2 linked regions of the Cricetulus griseus genome follow. The protein of the gene in region 1 interacts with the protein of each later gene in a pairwise test. Links are inferred from orthologs where the notes say so. Each region holds a gene or a part of one and is shown on either strand. Other genes may lie near its edges.

Region 1 (6,594 bases):
AAAGGAAAAGATGTAGAATCAGCAAAATCCGAAGTAGCTGGGTTTGGTGGCTCAGGTCTGTAATCCTACCACGTGGGAGGCTGAGGCCGATATACGTGAGCACCTCTTTTAAAACAAAATCGTTTCTGTTTAGGGCTGGAGAGATGGCTCAGAGGTTAAGAGTACCGACTGCTCTTCCCAGCAACCACATGGTGGCTCACAACCATCCTTTATGAGATCTGGTGCCCTCTTCTGGTGTGCAGATATACATGGAAGCAGAATATTGTATACATAATAAATAAATAAATCTTTAAGATCAAGATGACGCAATCGTGTTATAGGAAATAACGTGGAGTCTGTTAGACATGAGCAAGCTGAGGAAAGCCTCTTGAGTAACTGAGATGTAAGGCATAGGATTCCAGAGAGCTGTAAAGTACCCGGCATCTTGTGGACCATAAAATGTATTTAATGAGTGAATACAGATGACTCTTCTGTTGAGGTTGACTTCACTTTAAAACAACAGTTTTTAGTAGGTGTGGGGATACCTGCGATCATGTAGTACGGAGGCTGCAGCAGGAATACCAGGCAAGTCAGGGCTACGAGAGTGAGAGACCCATTCTCAACGAAAACAAACCAATATATGCTAGTTAAATATTAAAACACTCAAAACCGATAGCAAACAAAAGCCCCAAATTTGGCCCATCATGGTGGCACATGCCTTTAATCCCAGCTCATGGAGGGTGGGCAGAGGCAGGCAGGGTGGGGGGAGGGTCTCTGGTCTACATAGCAAGTTACAGGCCACCAGGGATGGACAGTGAGATGCTGCCTCAAACAAATCCCAACAAACAAACCCAAACTAAAAACAAAACAAAAAAGCCTCAAACTCCACAAAAGAATTGTGAGGGTGCCGTGATGAAACCACAGAAATCTGTGAGATTTGATCTATCTGCCAACAATTCTTTAGTCCAGCTTGAGCTGAGCCCAGAATGCCATTTTGGATCAAGTCAGTTGGACTGCTCTTTTTTGGGGGCGTATTAGGTCCAAAAGGAACCTCCAACCCCTCACTGACTAGGTCCAAGATAACAACAGTCTAGGCTCAGTTTGACAGGTTAAACAAAAGGATTACTGGTGGATAGATTGGTGTATTCTCCGGAACACAAATTTCTGTCTACCAAAAGGAGCCGCTTTCAATATCTTCCCTTGCTTGAAGGCAAAAGGTACTTGTTGACACATAGCTGTGGTTACACATCAGAGCCCATGCTAACCTCCAGGCTCCTTGTCCTTAGTAACATGTAGCTGTTACTAAGCCCCCAATGCTAGCTAGCATCCTGGCCCTTCTCATCTCCTCCACTATGCTAGCACCCATACTGTTCAGAGTAAGCTAGCTCACTCCTCTCCACAGCGGCTCTGCAGCAGCTTAGCTTTCTAGTAATGGCAACGTGTTTTTTTTTTTTTTTTTGTTTGTTTGTTTTTGTTTTGGCCCGATCCGCAATTATCTCTGTTTGCTATTTGTTTGCTTGTTTGTTTTTTGAGACAGGGTTTCTCTGTGTAGCCCCAGATGTCCTGGAACTCGCTTTGTAGACCAGGCTGGCCTCGAACTCACAGAGATCCGCCTGCCTCTGCCTCCCTAGTGCTGAGATTAATGGGGTTGCGCCACCACCGCCTGGCTCTCTTCACTATTTTGTCTGCCCCCAAGAAATAGTCTTGGCCAGTTAGCTTTTTCTCTTCGCTCTGGACTCTTTTCAGATGTCTTTGGTTCTTATCTACAATAAAACGTCCCCCAATCACGGAGCAGACATTTCGGTAGTTTTGTTTTCCTGCGCCTTAGCTTACAGGGCGCTTGGGGCTTTTCCCTTCGGCCCTAAGGAGAACTCAATTCTTATCAAACCCATGCTTTGCTAAGCCTCACTGCGCGAGAAATTGGGGAGCCCTCAGGCAATCAGGCATTCAGAGGCAAGCCAAGGAGAGGGTGTCGCTAACGCCTGAGCCACTAGAGGCCGCCCGAGAGGCGTCCCTTCGGAGTCTGGTTTCTATAGCTGCAAGCCACAGCACCACGTGACCCGCGCCGCTCAGCAACCCCGCCCGCTGCTTCCGGTAGGGGCGGAAAGCGGAAGTGTGGGAGGGTTTGCGGGGCGGGCTTCGGGAGGATGGAGCATTGAGGCGGTCTGGGCGGCTGCCGGCAGCGCCATGGAGACCGTGCAGCTGAGGAACCCGCCGCGCAGGTGAGGGGCGGTAGCCCGAGAGGAGGAGAATCGGGTGGGGAGAGGGATGGCGCGAACTTGCTGAGGGGAGACACCCGAGCGCAAGCCCCGGGCGGAGGGGGACCCGCGAGACAGGCGAGCGGGCTGCAGGAGCACCTGCTGAGTGAGGGAGCATCCGCTGGGCGCGATAGAAAGTGGGCTCGGTTACAGGGAGCATTCTGTGTGGGGGACTCGCCTGAGCAGCGTGAGGACAAGTTAGGAAGACACCTGCCGAGGCCGGGGGAAGCTCCCCAGGAAGAGACTCGAGGACTTAGGGCGAATGCCGAGGGTAGATGAAAGCGAACCCGTTTGGGATGAGCGGGGGCTCACTGAGAGGGTCTTGAATCCCACAGACCACGCGGTGAGGAAAGGTCTGTTGCATTGCTTCTGAGGCAGCAGGCGGTAGAAAAATTGTTGGAGGTCCCATAGTTAGTAAGAAGTAAAGTGGGAATTTTGTGTCCCGGTGGCCCTGTCCAAAGTCATTGCTCCTAACTGCCTTACTGTGGCAGTACCCAAGTTTCGTGGGTCTCGTAATGGAGAGAGGGTGATGGAGGGTGTTCTAGGGTCGTCCCGATTTGGGGATGGTGATGATGGTGGTGGAGCCTTTTGTTGCTGCTGTCTTGAGTGCCTGCCTAATTTTCTCCATATCCTTCCAAAACCTAAAGCTCTGGGACATAGATAAGGAAAGAAAATACCCGAGATGGGTTAGCTGAGGTCCAGTAAATAGAGTTGAGACACAGTAGATCCAGCCAGACGGTGTCCCTTTCAAATTCTGTTTCAATACTGTCAGCTCCAGATTCTAGAGGTATCTGGAATTGTTTTGGGTCAAGATGACCGACTCTAGGAAGTCTGCCGTCCCGGACTCGTTGATGTTGTGTTGGACCACTCCCCCTCACCTGGAGAAAAGAGCACAGAGCCCGAGGGAGTCATACTTCTCTCAGATGCAGCTAAAAACTTCGGTTTCACAGAGAAGACATTTGACTTCCTGTAGCAGAGGGAGCACTAAAATAGGAAGTGTTCAGAATAAGGGAGTGCCCGGCAACTGAGAGGTGAAGAGAGGGGATTCAAGCCTGGGGAGCACTCTTGGGAGTTGCTGGAAGTACATAAACGTGAAATAAAACAAATAGCTTGTTAGTGTGGTGTTCTGAGACTGTAATAGCAACGGCCATTAATTACACCCAGAGAGCACTTACAGGGTGCCAGGCACTGTTTTAATTGCTTTGCATCTTGCCTGTTCAACCATATGAAATTGCAGTATTTGGCCACTTTTGAACTTGTAAAAAAAAATGGTACTTTGAAATAGTACAACTTACTAACTCACTGACCTTCACAACTAATGCATAAGGAGGATATCCTTGTATCCTTGTTTCACAGATGATAAAGCCAGGGCAACAGGTCATTTGTTAGCTGCTCCATAGCTAGTAAGAGGCAGAGTTGGAATTTTAATGTCTGGTGATCTAGTCCAAAGCCTTGTTCTTATAACTTCCCTACTCTGGCATCTCCCTGGAAGTTACCTGCTACATTGGGTCTTTGTATATGTGTATCTTAGCAGATAGTTATTGTATGTATGCAGTCAGTAACTACTAGATTTGTTCTTTCTTTTTGGTTCCCTTTCCCAAAAAACCTTCATTTAAGTAAAATGAGAATTGTGAATGTGAGTTTTGTTTCTCCCTTTGTGTTTGGTGATTGTGGCAGGGGTGATTGGGTTTTGTTTGTTTGTTTGTTTTGTTTTGACTTTGCTCATCCTTGTACCTTTTGGATTTTTTATTTTTAAATATTTATTTATTTATTTGGTTTTTCAAGACAGGGTTTCTCTGGAACTTGCTTTGTAGATTAGGCTGGCCTCTAATTCAAAGAGATCCCAGTGCCTCTGCCTCCCGGTGCTGGGATTAAAGTTGTGTGCCACCACTGTCCAATCTACCTTTTGGATTTTAAGAACTGTAATAAATTCCAAGAGAAGAGCATTGCAGGACTGAATCGTTGGATGATTGGTGCTGTCCTGTTCATTGTAACTAGTGGACTGCTGGGTTTTATTATCATCAGTACTAACTGGCTTGGATTTCTGTAACAAATACCACACCCAGATGGTTTAGACAACAGAAATTAACTATTTGCCCTTCTGGAGGCTGGAAGTCTGAGGTCCAGTGTCTTTGGCTTACAAATGGCCATCTATCCCCACATTTTATGTGGTCTTCGTTCTTATCAGTCCCTGTCCTCAACCCTTCCGCTTACAGAGTCATCTGTCTCCAGATACAATCTCACACCCTGACACTCTTTGGCTTAGAATCTTAATGTTTGCACGAAGGATAGGGCATAGTTAATTTAGTTGCCTTTTTGTTTGTTTTGAGACAGGACCTCACACTGTAGCTCAGGTTGGCCTCAAACTCACTACAGTCCAGCTCTGAGTGCCAAGAGGAGCCATTGGCCCTGACAACTTTGTTATTAAAATGTTTCAGTTTATCTTTTACATTTGTTGTAATCTGCAAAATTTTGTTAGAGGGATGGATATGCATTAATAAAATGGGCCTTTGAGAGTTCTGATATGGCACAGATGATTGAAAACTAGCCAGATCTGAGCACCACTTTGTAACATTTGTTGTGTTTGGAACTATAGAGATGTCTTCTTGAGAGGTTCAGGTGGTGTGCTGCCCAGCAGTCTTAGTGCAGGAAATAGTGTTTGTATTCATGAGCTTGACATGCCTGTGTGACTCAGTGGTTGATGATGGATGGTGTAATGCAAGAGTTAGTGATTTTAAGACGTCAATTGCCATTGGGTAATGGTGTAATGGAAGGCCCAGGGTGCATTCCTGAAATGCTGGCCATTCTTGTGTCGGCTGACTTAGGATAGGAACATCACCAACATTTGGTGTGTGCAATTGCATTTATTGGCCAGGCCTGTTCATTATGAGCAAGAAAAAACTAGTATGGGATGTCACCTCTGAGTGAATGTCATCCCACAGTTCACGAAAGTCAGACCACTTGGGTGATAGTCTTGTCCTTGAAGTCTCAGTCACTTAGCAGATGTTTCATAGAAATTGTGTTTGTCGATAACCTACTAGTTAGCATTTTCAATGAAATTTTATTATGAGTCAGGTGTGGTGGTGTGCACCATTCTGGAAGCATTCTGGAAGGCAGAGGGAGATAGAACTCTGAGCTTGAAATCAACCTGGTGTACAGAGCCAGTTCCAGGACAGCTAAGCTACAGAGAGAAGAAAAGACAAAAAAATTCTATTTTGATAACATAGAGAACACAAGATTGCTACTCAAGGTTATGTGATTGCCACACCTACATTGGTTGATCCATTTAGCAAATATTTTCTGACCATCTATCTCTTGGTTATTTGGTACCAGAGTTAATAATGCTTCTTTAAGTTTAAAGTGTTTTAAACATTCTAGATGCAAAACAAAACTCCCATGTATGTTGTTTAAAAGGCATGTGAACAGTTGTTTAAAGTTTCTCTGAGTGTTATCGAGTCTTGCAACTGTCTCTTAGGACCAAGGCAGTTTCCTTTGTTCTGTGGTTTCTGAAATAGCGACTTCGGCTTTTGTTAAACTGTTAAGAGTCAACACTTGAAAGAGAATCAGATCTCCTCTGTATAAGCTGTGTATAAGAGTTTCTTCTTGATGAATGAGGTATTGTCCATTGTTTATACAGCTATGATTGGGGATTTTACCAAAAAACCCGAGCTGTTCGCTTTAATTTCTGAGATCGTAGAAATAAAATATCACGTCTGAAGTTTAAGGGGAGTTTCACTTCAGCCCTTTTGCCTTGAAGTTGGGAGTTTTTATGAAGTCATTGGGATTTTAATTGTAGGATCTTTTGAATCTTCAAATGTCAGTGTAGTCAGTGTATTTTGTTGCTCTTCAAGTCAAGAGCCACTCTCTGTGGTTCTTCCTTTCTTTATAAAATTCTGCAGGATCGACCCTCTGAGGTCAGGGCTTATTGGTAGTTGGTTGCACTTCATATGGTCTGGCTTTTTTTTTATTTTCAATTTTATATTCTTCTGATTTTTCTATTTTTATTTAAAGTCATTTCTTCTAAGAATTGATATTGTTTAGCTAATACAGGCTTTTTTTCTGCACAAGAAGTTTACAGTGTGACTGCTTCCATATTTCACCATTTCCTGAGCTGTCTTTTCTTTGTTGTCTTTTGTAGCTTCAGGAAACTATTATGTAGACACACACACACACACACACACACACACACACACACACCCTATCCTACAACAAACTCTTTAAGCCTGTTAATATGTTTTATTAGAGGTCTCAGTTTTGAATTTGGAATGTTGCTTTTTAACCTCTCCAGCTTATTCTGATTGTCTAGCATCACTGCTAAGTTTGAGTGAGTGGCCCATTTGATTCTTGGCACTAGTGA
Region 2 (6,494 bases), on another chromosome or scaffold:
AAATCTTTTAAAAGAAATTTGCCTTTGCATGTTTTGGAGTAGCATTTTTCTTTATTGTAATGAAATTGTGTTGGAATGAACAAAGATTCTTTTTTTTTTTTTTGATGCAGACTGCATGAGGCTTTATTGTTGTTTAAAGAGCTAACCCCATGTTAGCTCAGGTCTTTCACCCACCTGTCATGGCGGATGGCTAGCAAAGACAGCTAGAAGGGGCTGCAGAGAGATCTTGTAGGGCAGTGTATGGGGAGTGTTTAGGGGTATGCACAGGCCTAGGATTGGTGTGCCTTCAGGCTTGGAGGGCTTGCCCTGTGTTGATTGGTCAATTGGTTGTTATGGCCCATAGGCCTTCCCAGGGTGGTTGCTATGCTCTGCACGTCATTGCTGTGCACTTGTCCCATAAGCACACCCAGAGCAGTAAAGCATAGCACCACCAGCTAACTTCTGATTGGTTCCTTCCCACGAGACAGGCATCTGACTTCTAGTGACTAGGACAAGGTCATGGCGAGCACGAGTTACTGTCATGGCTGCTGAAATGGGGAGCTGGTCCCTGCATTCCCCCACTTTCTTTTTTGGAAATTTCAATCATGGAATTGCTGTCTCCCTAGCGTCCCCATCAGGGAGTGAGAGATATTGGCATCCCCATGCAAGGGAGTTCCTTCTGACTTAGCATTTTAACCAGGGAAAATGGGCAGCGAATTCTTTCCCATGCTACTCCCTGCTGACTTTGGGACGAAGTTAGGGACCCATGAACAAAGATTCTTGGCAATACTAAAATCAAGTGAAAACCTAACTGCTGTGCTGCATGATGCTGTTGACTGCATTGATTTATTAGACTATTTTCAGTCTCACTGACATTGTATTGTATTTTCTATGACAATATACAGCATCAATTCAGGTGTTGCTGAGCTTATACATAGCACAGTAATACAGATTATAAATTTATTTGCTTGGGAAATTAAAGTACTAGTATTAAAATTAAATTTTTGTTTTCTGGAGCCCTTTGTTAACATATATAGCTTTAGAAGAGTGTACTTATTGAAATGGTGATCTTATTCTGTTTGATTATAGATCTTATGCCTTCATTTATTCGCCATGGTCCAACAATTCCAAGACGGACTGATATCTGTCTTCCAGACTCAAGCTCTAATGCTTTCTCAGCTTCTGGAGATGGAGTAGTTTCTAGAAACCAGAGTTTTCTGAGAACTCCAATTCAAAGGACGCCTCACGAAGTAATGAGAAGAGAAAGCAATAGACTGTCTGCACCTTCTTCTTACCTTGTCAGGAGCCTAGCAGATGTTCCTCGAGAGTATGGCTCATCACAGTCATTTTTAACAGAAGTTAATTTTGCTGTTGAAAATGGAGACTCTGGTTCCCGATACTTTTATTCAGATAACTTTTTTGATGGTCAGAGGAGGAGGCCACTTGGAGATCGTGTACAAGAAGACTACAGATATTATGAATACAACCATGATCTCTTCCAAAGAATGCCACAGAATCAGGGGAGGCACACTTCAGGTAACTTGACATAATAAATAGCACATTGGTTTATACTTACATTTTGATTTAAAAGGTGATCTTCTGTGGGTTTTCTTGGAAAGAAAAAAGAAAAAGAATTCCTAGAGAAAAAGAATTTCCATTTTGCCATTCTTGCTTCTGCCTGCTTACTAGTAGTTTTTAACCTACAATGAATGACAGAACTCTTGGGTCTGTTTACTGTGCTGTCATACTAAACTTGATGTTTATCTCAAGACCATATTGACTGTTAACACTTTGGGGCTTGAAAATGTGAAAAATTTAATGTCTCTAGTTAGATTGAAATTAGATTCAGATTGGATAGAATGAGAAAGGTAAGTGTGTTAGCAAATTTGTCTTAAACCTAAGAAAGGAAAAGAGAGGAGGAATTGACTGCTAGGTATACAAAGTGTGGGCCATTGCACCCTGAGTGATCTAGCACTGTTTTTCCAAACCTTACTTTTTGTAGTCAATTATTATTTCTCAGGTTGGTTAATTATGTGTGAAACCTGCCTTTTTTTTTGTAACAGGTGGGAAACATTATGTTAATGAAGAGAGCTGCACTTTTTTCTTCTGACCTGGAGGTACTCCTCCAAGAAGGGGCTTATGGAATGTGGTACCTCCACTTGATTCCTAAAGCTGCCATATGGGACCTGGGGTCAGAACCCAAGTCTTCTGCTCATTACTGTAGATGAACTGATGCATGCTAAGAAGAAAACTTTTCCCACTTAGTAAATTGTAGGCTTTAAATCTGGCAGGATAAAGATGAGGATGATTGGTGTTTTTTTGTTTTTTTGTTTTTTCTTTAATCAGACACAACTTATACTAAACTGACTGACTTAACAATTTGGAATACAAATGTTTTAGCAATAGGAAACTTATCTTAATTTAATATTCATTATGTGTCTAGCAGTCCCCTTGGGATACCTTATATTTAGAGAGACAAAACCAGCATACACACAATAGTCCTAAAATACCTTATGGTTATACTTTGTAGTACTAACTGTTAGAGGGAGTCAGAAGAAAGATGAGTGTTGGTTAGAGGAATGCATGCTCCAAGGAGCAGATAGAATTTGAATTAGTCTTTGAGCTTGGACTTGGCATTAACATGGTAGGAGAAAGACATTTTAGGTAGAAAATTGGGGATACCCACTGCAAACAGAGTAGGTGTGGTTTACATTTAGGAGACTATGTTCCTACCTATTTTAAGAAATGTGATGTAAGGTGAAATGGAGACTCATGGTCCAACAGAAGGCTGAGACTTGAAACAAAGAAACCATTGCCCATTTCAAGATTAAATGCTTGGAGGGAAGGGTCAGTGGTTAAGAGCACTGGCTACTCTTCCAGAGGACCAAGTTCATTTCCTAGCTCACAGTCCTCTAACTCCAGTTTGAGGGGATTTGATACCCTCTTCTGGCCTCTATAGGCACTAGGCATGCAAGCGATGGAGTATATGTTCTCTGCCATCAAGATCTAAAAGAGCATTAGATCCCCTGGAAGTGGAGTTATCGGCAGTTGTAAGCTGCCATATGGGACCTGGGATCAGAACCCAAGTCTTCTGCAAGACAGCAAGTACTATTAACCTCTGAGCCATTTCTCCAGCCCCCAGTGATTAGTATTTTAAAGCAAATTAATGAGGTACCTGCTTCAGACATTTGGAGGGACAAGGGGAAAATGGGACACATCCAGATTCATAGAACTAGGACCCCTGCTGGGCGATGGTGTCACACACCTTTAATCCCAGCATTCAGGAGGCAGAGGCAGGCGGATCTTTATGAGTTCGAGGCCAGGCTGGTCTACAGAGTAGTTCCAGGATAGCCAGGGCTACACAGAGAATCCTGTATTGAGAAAAAAAAAAAAAAAGATTTTAGGTTATAACCAACATCTGCTTTTAATGTCAGTAGACTTCCATTCTGAGTCTCTTCTGTTTAAAAACAAAAACATTTGCCTTTTTTTTTTGTTTGTTTGGATACAGGGTTTTTCTTTCTGTAGACAGAGTTTTTCTGTGTGTAGCTCTGGCTGTCCCCTGTAGATCAGGCTGGACTCAAACTCACAGAGATCCGCCAGCCTCTGCCACCTCAGTGCTGGGATTAAAGATGTGTGCCACCACGGAGAGGCTAACTTTTAAAAATTACATTTGTCTTAGTTTGGGTTACTGTTGGCATCGAGAGGGGGACCTTGGCAGATCCCATGGCAGGTGAGGGACAAACAGAGCATGCAGACAGAACTTATGTGGGAAGTTTTATTGGGGGAAGGAAAGGGAGACAGGGGAGAGTGAGTGAGAGAGAGAGGGGCAAAGACCTGCCTGCCTCTTCAGAGGAACTGTGGGAGAGAGCGGGAGTGGGCGGAGCTTGTCTCTTAAAGGGACCTTTTGCACCTGCATATAGAGACAGGGTATTGCCTGCCATGCTCGAAAGGGGTGATGCATTCTGACAAGTGACCAAGGGGTGGGGCCAACGTGTGTCTGGATGCTAACACCATGGCCAAAGCAACTTGGGGAGGAAAAGGTTTATTTGGCTTACAATTTCATATTATTGTCAAAGGAAGTGAGAACAGAAAGGGCAGAAACCTGGTGGGAGGAGCTGCTATAGAGGCATTGGATGGGTGCTGCTTACTGGCTTGCTCCCCATGGCTTGCTCAGCCTGCTTTCTTATAGAACCCAGGACCACCAGCCCTGGGATGGTACCACCCAAATTGGACTAGGTTCTCCCCCATCAATCACTAATTGAGAAAATGCCCTTCAGGCCTGCCTACAGCCTGATCTTACGGAGACATTTTCTCAACTGAGGCTCCCTCTGATTCTAGCCTGTGTTTACATGAAACTAGCCAGTACAATGTGTTCCTGCGTGTGCACATAGGTGCGTGGGCGTGTGTGGAGGTTAAAGGACAACTTGCAGGAATTGGTTCTCTCCTTCCACCTTGTGGGTCCTGGGAATCAAACTCAGGGACTAGTGCTGAGTACTTTTACCCTCAGACCAGTTGATCTCTGAAGCTTGCTGGCTGACCAGTCCAGCTGAATTGATTAGTTGGTCCTAAACTTTTAAAGTTTTAAAGATCACTAAGAAATAAAAATTTTAAAAATTAAACTGAAAGTATCAGACTTTATTTAAAAAGTACTGAATGTATTTATTCCAGTAAATGTACAAGCATTTAGTTAACTAGAATCATCTTGTGGAAGCTGATACTGTTTTGTTTTTGCCGAGCAAGAGAAGTAGCAGTTGTCTTAGTTCAATACGTAAAGCCCTTTACCAACATCCTAATTAATACACATGTAGCATTTGTTATCTGTTACTGTGGTCCTTGTGGAACTCATGGTTCCAGAACCCACTTTACTGTCTTTAGTAAAGACAAATACTGCTGGATTTGGAAACGAGAATTTTTAAGTGTTATTTACACATATAGGGCTCAGGCAGCTTCCTAGTTGTTAAGGTCTTTTGAGGCATTCCCAGTGAAGTTTGGTAAAGATGAAATACTAGTTGAACCTGAAGGGACCAGTTCCCCATTTCGGCAGCCATGACAGTAACACGTGCTCGCCATGACCTTGCCTTGGTCACTAGGAGGTCAGATGCCTGCCTCATGGCAAGGAACCAATCAGAAGTTAGCAGGTGGTGCTATGCTTTACTGCTCTGGGTGTGCTTTTCGGACAAGTGCACAGCAATGACGTGCAGAGCGTAGCAACCACCCTGGGAGGGCCTATGGGCCATAACAGCCAGTTGACCAATCAACACAGGGCAAGCCCTCCAAGCCTGGAGGCACACCAATCCTGAGCCTGTGCATACCCCTAGACACTCCCCTTACGCTGCCCTATAAGATCTCTATGCAGACGCCTCGAGCCGTCTTTCCTGGCTAGCCTCCATGGTGGGTGGATGAAAGACCTGAGCTAACATGGGGTTAGCTCATTAAACAACTATAATAAAGCCTCGAGCAGTTTGCATCAAGCTTTCGACTCCACCTGGTGATTGGGGTGACCTTGGTACTGGGCCAGATCCTGGAGGCCTGAGCTTCCGGGGGTCTTTCAAACCTTCTTGGAATATTCTGTCCTTAGCTTGTGAATGCTTACTTTATATTTAATGGAGCATTTTTGTACAGTTACAGCCATACAAACAGAAACTATTCATTTATGAATAAATGCCAGTTACTATTTTCTGGGACTAATTTAAATTTTGGAAAACTGAGTTTTTAAAGTTGTAGCTCAGAAACTGAAGTTCTTTTATTTTCTTATTGATTAATTTAAAATTGATGGCTTGCTTGCTTGGTTTTGTTTGAAGAGTTATAATTGATCTTTTGTTGCTAAAATGATATGGTTAGTAATGTTCATTATTTGATCTTATACAGTGGGCTTTGGTAAAATAACTTTCTCAAACCTTTTTCTCCTTTCATGTGAAATGGTAGTAAGTCTCTTTGCTTGAGTTCCTCATGGTTGTGGTATTGTGTGCATTTTACTCCATGTGTTAGGACTGGTTTCTCTCTTTGTGATGTTAGGTTTGACCATGCTCTCTCCATGTCAGCCTGGTTTCCCATCAGGAACTTCTCCAGCAAGCTTACCTGTTGGTTTTGGGGAGTGGGTGATGATCCTTTTTGTTGAGTATTGAAAACTGTGATACTTAATTCTATCATTTTTTCTGACTTATTAGAGTTCTAAAATAGTTTTAATAAACTTGATGGTTATTCATTTAGGAAAGATGGGGTAAACACTAGATCTTTCCTTTTATTTACTATTTTTCAGAGTAAAGAAGTGGTGCCCCAGCCACTTCTCCAAAGGTAAGTAATGAAATTTTTTTGTGGAGTATCTTCATGACCTCATAGATAACTTTTTTAATTCCAAGATTTATTTGGGTTTAACTAGGTTTTCATTAATATCCATTTTCTGTTCCAAGATCCACTCATGTCTTTGTAACCTTCTGTGGTCTCTGCCACTTTCTTAGTTCTTTTGTTTTCTATGATCCTGATAGTGTTGATGGTTTCATGTTAGACATTTTTGT

What was found.
Region 2: the proteins of Stk4 (region 1) and Sav1 interact in binary tests that used the Homo sapiens proteins (3 or more experiments, as listed by UniProt). The link is inferred for Cricetulus griseus from reciprocal best matches to the Homo sapiens genes STK4 and SAV1.

The regions. Positions count from the first base shown.
Region 1 is NC_048599.1:15,441,565-15,448,158, reverse strand, and holds the start of Stk4 (serine/threonine-protein kinase 4), read left to right. Parts: upstream 1-2,049; 5' UTR 2,050-2,166; coding exon 2,167-2,201; intron 2,202-6,594. UniProt on the Homo sapiens protein: Stress-activated, pro-apoptotic kinase which, following caspase-cleavage, enters the nucleus and induces chromatin condensation followed by internucleosomal DNA fragmentation.
Region 2 is NC_048598.1:133,400,484-133,406,977, forward strand, and holds part of Sav1 (protein salvador homolog 1), read left to right. Parts: intron 1-1,068; coding exon 1,069-1,515; intron 1,516-6,494. UniProt on the Homo sapiens protein: Regulator of STK3/MST2 and STK4/MST1 in the Hippo signaling pathway which plays a pivotal role in organ size control and tumor suppression by restricting proliferation and promoting apoptosis.